Linked DNA regions of Oryzias latipes. The protein of the gene in region 2 purifies or fractionates together with the protein of the main gene of each other region. This does not show direct contact. Links are inferred from orthologs where the notes say so. Each region holds a gene or a part of one and is shown on either strand. Other genes may lie near its edges.

Region 1 (2,666 bases), on a different chromosome or scaffold from region 2:
GGTTGTCTTCCTCTGAGGGTCTCCTCCTCTGAGGGTCTCCTCCTCTGAGGTTGTCTTCCTCTGAGGTTGTCCTCCTCTGAGGGTCTCCTCCTCTGAGGTTGTCCTCCTCTGAGGGTCTCCTCCTCTGAGGTTGTCTTCCTCTGAGGGTCTCCTCCTCTGAGGGTCTCCTCCTCTGAGGTTGTCTTCCTCTGAGGGTCTCCTCCTCTGAGGTTGTCTTCCTCTGAGGTTGTCTTCCTCTGAGGGTCTCCTCCTCTGAGGGTCTCCTCCTCTGAGGTTGTCTTCCTCTGAGGTTGTCCTCCTCTGAGGGTCTCCTCCTCTGAGGTTGTCCTCCTCTGAGGGTCTCCTCCTCTGAGGGTCTCCTCCTCTGAGGTTGTCTTCCTCTGAGGGTCTCCTCCTCTGAGGTTGTCTTCCTCTGAGGTTGTCCTCCTCTGAGGGTCTCCTCCTCTGAGGGTCTCTTCCTCTGAGGGTCTCCTCCTCTGAGGTTGTCTTCCTCTGAGGTTGTCCTCCTCTGAGGTTGTCCTCCTCTGAGGGTCTCCTCCTCTGAGGTTGTCCTCCTCTGAGGGTCTCCTCCTCTGAGGGTCTCCTCCTCTGAGGTTGTCTTCCTCTGAGGTTGTCCTCCTCTGAGGTTGTCCTCCTCTGAGGGTCTCCTCCTCTGAGGGTCTCCTCCTCTGAGGTTGTCTTCCTCTGAGGGTCTCCTCCTCTGAGGTTGTCCTCCTCTGAGGTTGTCCTCCTCTGAGGGTCTCCTCCTCTGAGGTTGTCTTCCTCTGAGGGTCTCCTCCTCTGAGGTTGTCCTCCTCTGAGGGTCTCCTCCTCTGAGGTTGTCTTCCTCTGAGGTTGTCCTCCTCTGAGGGTCTCCTTTCTATCCTCTGAGGTTCCACTCTGCTTTCAGAGAAAGGCCTGCAGCCATTCCCATCAACATCAAAAGCATCGATGACACCTCCAACTTTGACGAGTTCCCAGACTCGGACATCCTCACCCCTACAGGTACCCCTCCCCCCTCCAGGGGAGTGAATGCTGGTGTTGGTGGTAGGACTGTGCTTCAGCTCTGGTTCTGTCTTGCAGCCTCTCCGGTTTCTAATCACAGCGAGGCTGACCTGAAGAACAAGGACTGGGTCTTCATCAACTACACCTACAAGCGCTTCGAGGGCCTGACGGCGCGGGGGGCCATTCCGTCCTACATGAAGTCTGGGAAGAGATAAGCTCCTGCCCCCCCCATCACCACCACTGACCCTGTGTTGGCCCTCTTTCTGTGGGTTTTGCCCCCCAGCACCAGCATCCCGACATTCCCCCTTAAGCAGCAGCTCTGCTGGACCCTTGAGGGGCTGTGCTTCTGCCCTGTGGGCCAAAGCGGGTCAGAAGGACCCACCAAAGAGCCGACCTCTGCCCGCTTCAGGAAAACGACTCTACTTCTAGAACTTTTGCACACTTTGCCCTTTGAAAGTATGAAAGTAGGATTCCGTCTTCATGGCGACCCACTCAGCACCTTGATGGGAGTCGGGCCGGCTCGCTGGACTCTCTTTGGTTTTAGGTTTTAAAGCAGCTTTTATTCCAAAAGATGGCCGTTTTTGCTTTCTATTGTGATGTTCTGTTTCTGAAGCTTTTGAGTGGCAGTTGCTTCTTAAACCTCTTCACACAAACGTCTTGAATCTCTGCTTCTACGGCCCAGGGGTTGGGGTCAACAGTGTCCCACTTGTGGACTCCAAGGCTTCTGTTCTGTTACCTTTGTTCCACAGAAACACTTTTTTTTACAGGAAAAGGACTTTAAAGCATGAGACTTACCTGGGAGCAACGAACACACCATCCAGAATGCTGTCTTTATTATCACCAGCTAAAAATGAAGCAGGTTTTCTGCCCGGCAACAGCAAATTTCTGTTTTTCTTTTTCTTCAAAAGGTTTTAACTTTAAACATAATTTTAATTTCTAATTTTAATGTGTGTTTGTGTGTGTTGGGGGGGGGGGGGTGATTTTATTTAAACCGCTGCTGCAGTGCACACCTCTGTAATGTTTCTGCTGTTTGACAATGAAGAACTCTGCACTTAAAGCGTGCTCTCCTCACTCACGTGCATGTCCCATGTGTGGGCGTGGAGTGGCTGCCCCTCCTGGCCGTCCCAGTGCGGGGGGGGCATTTATTCTGTTGACTTGTTTGGAATCTCAAACTAACTTCTTCTCTGAGTCTAAAACACTCAGAGCATCACGGATGAACTTTGACAAAGTGATTAACCCCTGTGCTATCCTAGGCACTTTAACATTGGGAGTTGGGTCATCTAGACCCACTTCCACTTTGTCCTAAAACATGCAGAGCAGTAAATTATTTTCACTGCAGATTCCAACCAATCACAGCTCAGTATGACAACTTGAAGGATTGTAGGGATTTATAAGGATTATATTCTGACAGATTAGTGCTGAACAACAATAGCAGGAACATCCATTATTTTTCTTGGAAATGACCTGGCATGTTTGTGACAGCAGGGGGCGCTGGTGCATCACTTCAGGTCTGCAGCAGCTGCAGGTGGAGTTCATGAAGTTCATCTTTCCTGTGCGATCCCTTTTCTGATGGAAAGACCAGTCCTCCGTGATGTCCGGGGGGGACAGGAGCCCCCCACCTCCAACTGGACCCAGCAGGGAACCTAGTTTATCTGCTGGTGAACTCATTGCGTTCTTTGTCC
Region 2 (4,436 bases):
TGAAGAGATCTTTAGTCACATGGTTTTGTTTCCAAGCTTTGATCCGGAACATGAGTCCCTGGGTAAAGTCAGTCTAGATATAGTCCAAATGCACGGTTCAGGACTTTATCTGGACCAGACTAAGCGGACTCTGTACGGACCAACAAAATAGACACTCAATTTAACCTCTGGGTGTATTCAGACTGGACACATTTTTTTCGCTTAAAGTGAACCAGAGTTGGTTTTAAATTGGCACCACAAAATGAAATGCTGATAAAACAAGAAATTTTTACTTCAAAAACTAAAAAAGTGAAGTTTTGTTTCCATGAAAGAAAATCGTAAAATTGCTGTGAAGTTTATTCAACCATAAATTCTCAGATCAATGTGCCATTTTTTAACTGAAAATCCCCATCTTTGTATCTAAAGCTGACTTTAAATTTATGTGTGAAACACAAATATTTGGTTCTGTTGATTTTTGTATCACTTTTAGCTTAACTGTAACTATCCTCTCAACTGTAAAGATTCTGGCTTTTCTTTTTCACATTCAGCTTGAATGAGTGACACCTTGGGGAGTAAATATAAAGGCTTTATGGGAAGAAGTAGGTCAGGTTTGTGAGACTTGCTCTAGTAGACAGCATGTATCTGCTCTAATCCCTTAGAATGCAGACTTTAGACACAGGATATAGAAATACACACGTGCAGCAAGTGTCTAACCACTTAAACCACCATGTCACTTCAGGAGAATCGCAAACCTTCCACAGGAACAGCAATCACTTTATTTCCACTAATGTTTTTTCTGCACCACTTCAAATAAAAAATAAAATTTCAAATAACAAGGCAACGATGTTTTGCGTGTGTGCTTATTTAGTTTTGAATCAGGCATTCTGCTACATTAGTAAAAAAGTTCATTTCCAGTTTAGGGTTACCCTGCAGAATTCCCATCAAACATGTCTGTTTTGTCTGATTCTGAGTAAAATAGAGTGGAAAAGAAAATGAGTCAGAGACAATTTAAAGTTTGACAGAGGTTGGACTTGTGACATAGAAGCTACAGTCGATAGGCAACAGTCTCCCTGCTCCGCTCCATTCTGATTAATCCACTTATAGACCACAATATCCATGCATGGCTCTCTTTTCTTCGTCTGAGCTGGCATCTGGCTCAAAACTGTACAGCTGGATAGCTCCAATATTGCTCGCCATTTTTGTTGCACCAGTAATGGTAGGTTGGGGATGTAAGGGGCTGGGAGAGCGCGCAAACAAATGGGTGACGGGAAGTGGGGGTGAGCTTACTCTGTGCCAACAGTCCTAGGCACAACACAAAGGCAAATGTCAAATGAACCCCTGCAGCTCTAAAGAAAACGACAGGTTTTTTGATTTTGACTAAAATGGGCATAATCATATTTAAAAAACCACTGGGAATGCTTTGAAAATAGATCAACAGATGAATGGAGTGGGTCTTTAACAGAATAAAACAGTGGTTCTCAAACTATAATACATACATATTTAGATATATCCAATAGTCTCAAACTAAAATTTGTATTAAACATAAGTATCCATAAATAAAGTCATAAATTGACATTTGCCATCAGTAGGCTGGTCAGGTTTTAGTCTAAATCTAAAGGCCTTGACATTTAACGTGAAAAAATTGTATTGCTTTGGTGCTGCCTGTCAAATATAATTTCCCTTAATAACCAAAATATAATCAGGATCAATTCGGTCCCAGTCAGTGATGTTAGTGTGTTAACACACAAAAAGTAATAAATTCTTAACTAAGGATTCATTATACATTATAAAAATGCCCCTTAAAAATTTTGCATAGTTAAAAACATTAAAATGAACCATAGATTACACAATCTTGAGCTTTAATTTTCTTATCTTTTTCATGTCTTTATTGTATTTATTATATAGGTACCAAATATATTAAAAATATCTGCTGGATAGGAGCTTTTTTGGCCTAAAATAATATTTATAAAGATCAATTTAAAAAAAGTGTAAATGAAGGCTCTAACCCTGACAGTAGATCTCAGATACCTCAAGAACAAACTTCAGAGGAGGCAGAAGTTCAGCGAGTGTAGCTCTAGCTAACACCAGACGATCGATGGCTGCAGTTAATCTAGGGTAGCATGTCATATTAACAGACAAATCAATGTCTGGAGAGGCTGCAGGTCAGCTCTCATTCTTGTAACAGAGCCCATAGGATTCAGCAGAAGCGACGGGGCTCGGTTGTCTGTCCACCCTCCAAATATGGGTGTAGCTAGCGAGCGTTACGAGTGGTCAACATTTACTGCAGTGTTGTAAAGGCTAGCGCTAGCATCCTACTAGCCCGAGCAGCTAATTAAGTTTTTCAACGACTTGGTAAAAGGCTGCAGTTTCACCAGCTCGTCATTGCGGCGTTTTCACTTCGCTCAGCCGTAAAACGAGCAAAAACTGTCAATTTATGAATTGCTCGTACGGTAATTTTGTTAGCATGGCTGCTAACAAGTTAGCTGAGCCTGCTACAGAAAACCGGATGTTTGGGCAAAGAAGCACCGAAAGGAGACAGATTGACTACTTACACATAACACAGCAGAGATATGTGGACTGGGGTGGTAGTTTTTCCACAAAACTGGTACTGCAAACAATTCATCATGTAATTATTTCCTTTGTATTTTTACCTGTCAGTCGAATTTTGATGCTGGACCCGTTCCTCCGACTCCCAGGATTCGACATCACTTCGGGAGAAAAAAGGATCAGTCAAACTTCCCCTCGGAGACAGCCCTCCGGAAAAATCACAGTTTCATGAAAGAGCGGGACCGCAAAGACTTCACTACAAGAAGACGAGGGCTGTTTTCTTCATGGATAAAAAGACATAATTCCGCCGCAAAGTCCTGCGCTCCTTCTAAATCCAACAACACGGGAGAACATTTTCAGGCAGGCTCAAGCACGTAGCCGGCTGACGTCATGTTCTTGACGCTACGTGCTCGCTCCAGCAAGTGTGCGCGCGCCAGCAAAACATTTCTCACGATTTTCAAAACAAATCTTCTCCGAAAATTAATAAATTATTATTATTATTATTTAAACAAAACACGAGAGTAGAGAGAGGGGAAAAGAACAATTAAACAATCTATGATAAAAAACAATACTTTACTCAATATTTTGAGAGCAATTTAGTTTTAACTCTACAAGAACTAAGGGATCTTGAGGGGTTTTCCCTTCATACAGTGACCTAAAAGTATACAAATGAATTTAATATCAACATTTCCCTCACAGATAGACATTAATTCATTTTCCAAGTAAACTGTTTTCAACAAACACATATAATCAATTAACTGCTATTAATTCAGTTGATTTATTTATCCTAATATTTAAAATATTTGTAATAAAAAAACATGGATGTACACAGGAACAGTTGATCTACCCGTGTTGCTCTGAAAATGTTCACTTTAAGCAAAAGCTAGAAAACAACTTTTTAAATTCCCTTCTTTTTAGAGAGCAGGAGATCGTACAGCTTTGGGTGAAAGCATGAATATTATGTCTATAAACAGCTTTCCAGTGATGAGTTTCTCTCTGCATGTTTGTAGGTGAGACAGAAAAATAAAAAAAACATCACCAAAAACATTCATCATGGGATGGGAGGAGACTTTAGGGGTCATATGGACCATAACTTTAATCTTCATTCCTGTTATCTAAACTGAAGCATTTAAATTGATGTGCTTGAAGAAAAGTGTACATCTATAAAATCACTCACACAAACCCTTTTTTTTATTTGAAGGCTACAGTATAGATCAACATATTTGACTATTTTTGTCTTCCCAACATTTACACTTGCACCAACGTGAAGCCTTTTAAATCCTAACTGATTATGAAGAAGTACGTTTTATTGAAATACGAACACAACTGTTAGAAATTTAGCAGATACTCCAAATGTGGAAAAGTTTATGTACAGGTATTACTTAAGAATTAATTAAAAATAATCACCTTTTTAATCCCTTTGAGGGTCTAGGATGGTAAGTCACAGTTGTAATTTTTGTTATGACTAACACTAGTCAGTTAAGAAAAAAAACAAATTTAGTGATGATTTTAATCCTTAAATTACACAAAAACTTGTATTAATATTGAAGACATGGAGATTAAGAAAATATACCATTTTCATTCTTTTTTCAGAATAGAGCCCATTTAGATCTGAGTTTAACAGTTTTGAGAGAAGAGCCAAACAAAAAGAAGGTCAACAGGCAAACTTGCAGATCGGAAGCATTGAGCATTTGTTGCGTTTGTGAGGAATGTGCAATGCACTTGTGTCTTGAGATTGAGAGAGCAGAGCATCTGGGATTATGGTTCCTGGGATTTGGCTCTTTAGTAGCACCAGGGTGAGCAACACGCTTTTGATATTAGCCGAGGAAACAAAGGAACCTGTCTACTGCCTGTTTACACGCCACAGTAAATCCACAAAACCGAGCCACATACACATCCAGACACAAACC
Region 3 (4,399 bases), on a different chromosome or scaffold from region 2:
ACTTTCTGTACATATTGTACATTTTTTGTTGTTGATGTGAGTACAGTATTTCTATTTTATTTTATTTATCTATATCACTCCAAAGCTGCTGCAATTTCATTGTATCATCATGTACAATGATAATAAAAAGATTCTGATTCTCATATTTCACTAAAAAAAGCATACTTTTGTGTGCCAAAATTAATATGAAATCATATACATGGATATTATTTACTATAAAAGGCTTAAGAATATAGTGTAGGCCCTTTAAGATACACACAAAAACTAAAAATACCAGACTATTTCAAAATAAGGATGGATTGTACTGGAATTGTTTCAATTCAATTAATCAAACAAATAATAATACTAAAGAAGAAAAAAAAGGTGTATTCATTTAGGCATAGGTATATCAAACTTAAGATGATTGATCATCATTCAATTGGAAATTTAAATGAAGGATAATTAAATGCCATTATAATTAATTCTAATCTTAGACACAGTTCTGTTTAAACATACAATACATGACACATTGAATTCATTACATTTAAAGTTTGTCGAAACAGTTAAACTAATTGCATGAAAAGGGGTGGGAGGAAACAAACCTATATACTCCAATGGACCCCTATTATGATTTCCTTTACTATTTTACTTGTTTTTTTGTTTTTATGTATTTACCATATCTGGTTTGCAACTTCTAAACTCCTAACATTGCATTAATCATCATAAGTTAAGTATCAAAATGGAATTATTTCAAAATTGATACTTAAAAATGGCTTGTATTTTCATACATGTTTCAATGTGTTTTTAATTTTATTTATAACATTTGTTATTATAATATATAATTTATTAATTCAAAATAAAAATAGAAAAGCTTTTCAACGCATCCCACTGGGAAAGGTTAACTGATGGACTTGGCACCAACAACTTGTGCAGCAAATCATTAGAAGTCATAAATGTGTTTAATGTCAGGCTGCGTTCAATATTTTATGAATTAAGCTTTTTCATCTTAAGTATTGAAACTCCCCCTGGAGCACATTATATCTGACAAAGAATCATATCCTCCAGAAATATATTTAGATAATGAAATAAACAGAATTGCATTGAAAGCCGTGCGGCTGAGAACTGATGGATAAACAGTAAAAATACTGAGATGTGCATGGGAGTGACTGACTGAGAGCCCCCTTACAGCACAGATCCTGCATGCATGCAAATAAGTTTCAGAAAGTTTTTGCTTCAAAAACCGAGAGGTGACTGTTTCGCCTTTAAGAGTTAAGAAACTTGAAACCTTGTTTGCGCAACAATCAGTGCAGCTCACAGCCGCCAAAGTGTCTAGACTAGCACATGATGGTAGTCAGCCAATGGCTCCACCGCTCTCCTCGGGGGCCCCGTGTGTGTGCGCCAGTCTGTGTGAGTGTGTGTGTGTGTGTGAGAGAGAGAGAGAGAGAGAGAGAGAGAGAGAGAGAGAGAGAGAGAGAGAGAGAGAGAGAGAGAGAGGTAGAGTGGGGAGAAAAGAAAAAGAGCGAGAAACGGAGAAAGAAAGAAAGGGATCTAGGTTGCAGTTTGGTCCAGGTCTGAGCAGAGACGCAGGCGCGCGCTTCAGCCACGGATTCGTGTAGTTTCCGCTTTCATGGAGGCTTTGGCTGGGATTTAAAAAAAGAAAAGAAAAAAAAGAACATCTTTAGAAAGCGGAAAGGATCTTTTACTTCTGCTGTATTTTCATTGGATTTAATTGGATTGAAGTGGGCTGCCTCACGCTCTGCGCGCCGGTGTAGAAAGTAGATCCAACAATTCGGGGAACTGTCATGGACTTGATCTTAAGGCTGCTCGTTGGGATTATGTTACTGGACGTGTTGTGTTGTGTTGTTGCGTGTTTTTAACAAACACACTGAAGGGTCCACTCCGCCTGGACAAGAAGCCAGCGTCTGCAGCCGCTCCGTAGCCCCAGCTGAACGCATGCCTGTCAGTTGGAATGCTGCAGTACGTTTGCGTCGCGGGTCGGTTGTTGTAGATGCAACAAACTCGCCTTTATTCTAATGCACCGTCAGTGCTCATCGGTTGGCTGTGCATGCACTGCACGGCGGTTCGGTGTCATTGATGATTTGCAACGACAGTAAAAGTGTGTGTAGTCTATCCGTACACGAATAACCCCCCTTCTAGTAGTTCGAGGTGTCGTATGTTCAGGACGAAACGCTCAGGTCTTGTGCGGCGACTGTGGAGAAGCCGTTTGATCCCAGATAAAGAGGGGGGAGATGGAAATGGCACAACTAGTGAGGGCTGTCGGGACGATCTGTTCGGCAACAACCCGGAGAAAATTCCCAAAACGGAGTTCAGACCGATGACCCCGAGTGGGTCCTTTGGAAGAGACTTGGGGTGCGTGTGCCCCGTGGAGAGCAGCGGCTCGGGCGTCACGTCGGACCAAGATGAGGGCGCAGTGTGCGTCCAGGAACAGGGGAGCCCCCGCTCTGTTCAGGACAGCGAGTGCAGGACGGTGACGTGCTGCTTATTTAAAGACCGGGACCACTTCGAGGTTAGGGGTCCGGAAACGGCTCAGGGTAACAGGGATCCAGGGTCGTGCCACTTCATGCTGAGGAACCTTGGAGGAGGAGACGGCGGCTCTCCTGACGCGCACGAGGCGATGCCCCGCGTGCTGTTGGAGCAAGAACTGAAGTCCGCCACATATTCTCTTTTGAAAAGGCTAAAGGAGAAGGCGCTGGATACTTTACTGGAGGCAGTGGAGTCCAGAGGAGGGATGCCGAGCGAATGTGTCATGGTTTCCGGGACGGAGCTGAAGTTTGGTGGACATGCGGCGTCTCCACCGCTGCTGGTGTGTAAAGTGTACCGCTGGGCTGACCTCCAGCACTCGGCTCAGCTCAAGCCACTCTGTGAGTGCAAGAGCTTTGGGGCCCTGGACTGCCCCACTGTTTGCTGCAATCCCTATCACTACAGCCGGCTCTGTGGGCCAGGTAAGACCCCCCCTGCAACACATCCTTTATGATCAAACTGACCCCCCCAATGTTGATCCTGCAACTTAATTTTCTATTAGTCTACATGATATGAGAAGCATGTGGCCTAAATTATGCTGTAAACCTGTATTGTCACTCAGATTAGAGTTTCATCTGCTCTCATACTTTAGAAGAAGCATCATCATCTTCCTTCCTTCAACATGAAGCACAGTAACTCCAAACTAACCAAGGACAGCCTGGTTGATAGTATGCTTTTAAACATTTGAAAAGAGGCTCAGAAAACTTTTTAAGGGCCTAAAAATCTTCCCATGACAGAATAAAGCATGACTTTGGCCTACAGCATCAGAACCAAGTGTTTGTCCGTTTCCAGCACTCCTTATAACCCTTGTCACCTTATAGCTTTAGATCATCTATATATCTATTGTCAGTTCAGATGTTTTTAGTTGTTTTTTTTGAGTTTTTACCCCCATATGATAAGATTGTCCAGATTCAGATGTTAGTTCCTCTCCATTGAGTTGGAGTGAGCTCCTCAAGACACACAGACTCCCTGACCCGTATTAAACGTATTAAAACTTGGCTGCGGATGGGGCCTGCGATTTAGTTTAAACGCTGGGCCACTCAACCCCGCTGACCCATTGACAAGGCTTGGTGTCATGTGTAAAGATGCAAGCGTCAGTATTTCTGTCTTCTCACTGGCATTGAAGGCGTATTTTCCATAACATCCACGTTGTCCAGAGCCAGCGGGCTGTTGCAAACATTTTAAAGTCACAAGTTCAGCACTATCAAAATTCATATAGTTGGGAAATTGATGAGTTACTGGATCTCAAAAGTGGAGCAGGCGTCAGAAATGATCAGACTCAAATACAGTAAAGTTTTATCATAAGTTATTTTTTAAATAAGTAAAACATTTTTCATGTAAATTGTTGAACATTTGGTACATCTGCATGTGAAGCGCAGGTTTCCTTTCCACTAAAACCCCCAAGATGAATTGTGAGGAGAGAGGCACATTCCCTGCACTGGGACTGAGGCTCATAGTAGACATAGCTCACATGCGCTCATGCGTGGCTCAGTAGAGCTGGTATTTCTTTCACGCTATTCAAAAAGAAGGGGGGCTATGAATAAAGACTTTAATTACTGGTTTAGATTTTGCAAAACCAGAATGTAAAACATAGAGACTTATATCTAATTATTACACAGGTAATGAAAAGGCTTTGAGTCAAAAGAAACTCATTCCTCAGGTTTAATCTTGTGCTTTATTTTAGCATTATTTTCTATTGTTTGAGTATATGAAAATAAAGTTGTCCTTTAAAGTTTTTTCTCTCTCAGAGACTTAAAAAACAAAACAAAAAAACAGGCAAAGTACTTAAAGTACTGAAGTGGACAGAAACTTCTCCTTCCTAATTTGCCAGGCATTATACTTTTCGAATGAGATCAGTTTCAAGTTGCGCTTTAAAAGC

The links.
Region 1: the proteins of smurf1 (region 2) and stk38 purify together in Homo sapiens (affinity purification with western blotting; 3 studies listed by BioGRID, with this or other methods). This does not show direct contact. The link is inferred for Oryzias latipes from reciprocal best matches to the Homo sapiens genes SMURF1 and STK38.
Region 3: the proteins of smurf1 (region 2) and smad6 purify together in Homo sapiens (affinity purification with western blotting; 4 studies listed by BioGRID). This does not show direct contact. The link is inferred for Oryzias latipes from reciprocal best matches to the Homo sapiens genes SMURF1 and SMAD6.

What each region holds. Positions count from the first base shown.
Region 1 is NC_019865.2:33,698,654-33,701,319, forward strand, and holds the end of stk38 (serine/threonine-protein kinase 38), read left to right. Parts: intron 1-889; coding exon 890-984; intron 985-1,062; coding exon 1,063-1,199; 3' UTR 1,200-2,041; downstream 2,042-2,666. UniProt on the Homo sapiens protein: Serine/threonine-protein kinase that acts as a negative regulator of MAP3K1/2 signaling. Converts MAP3K2 from its phosphorylated form to its non-phosphorylated form and inhibits autophosphorylation of MAP3K2.
Region 2 is NC_019866.2:19,075,792-19,080,227, reverse strand, and holds the start of smurf1 (E3 ubiquitin-protein ligase SMURF1), read right to left. Parts: upstream 2,921-4,436; 5' UTR 2,686-2,920; coding exon 2,631-2,685; intron 1-2,630. UniProt on the Homo sapiens protein: E3 ubiquitin-protein ligase that acts as a negative regulator of BMP signaling pathway. Mediates ubiquitination and degradation of SMAD1 and SMAD5, 2 receptor-regulated SMADs specific for the BMP pathway.
Region 3 is NC_019864.2:16,417,209-16,421,607, reverse strand, and holds the start of smad6 (mothers against decapentaplegic homolog 6), read left to right. Parts: upstream 1-1,499; 5' UTR 1,500-2,152; coding exon 2,153-2,942; intron 2,943-4,399. UniProt on the Homo sapiens protein: Transforming growth factor-beta superfamily receptors signaling occurs through the Smad family of intracellular mediators. SMAD6 is an inhibitory Smad (i-Smad) that negatively regulates signaling downstream of type I transforming growth factor-beta.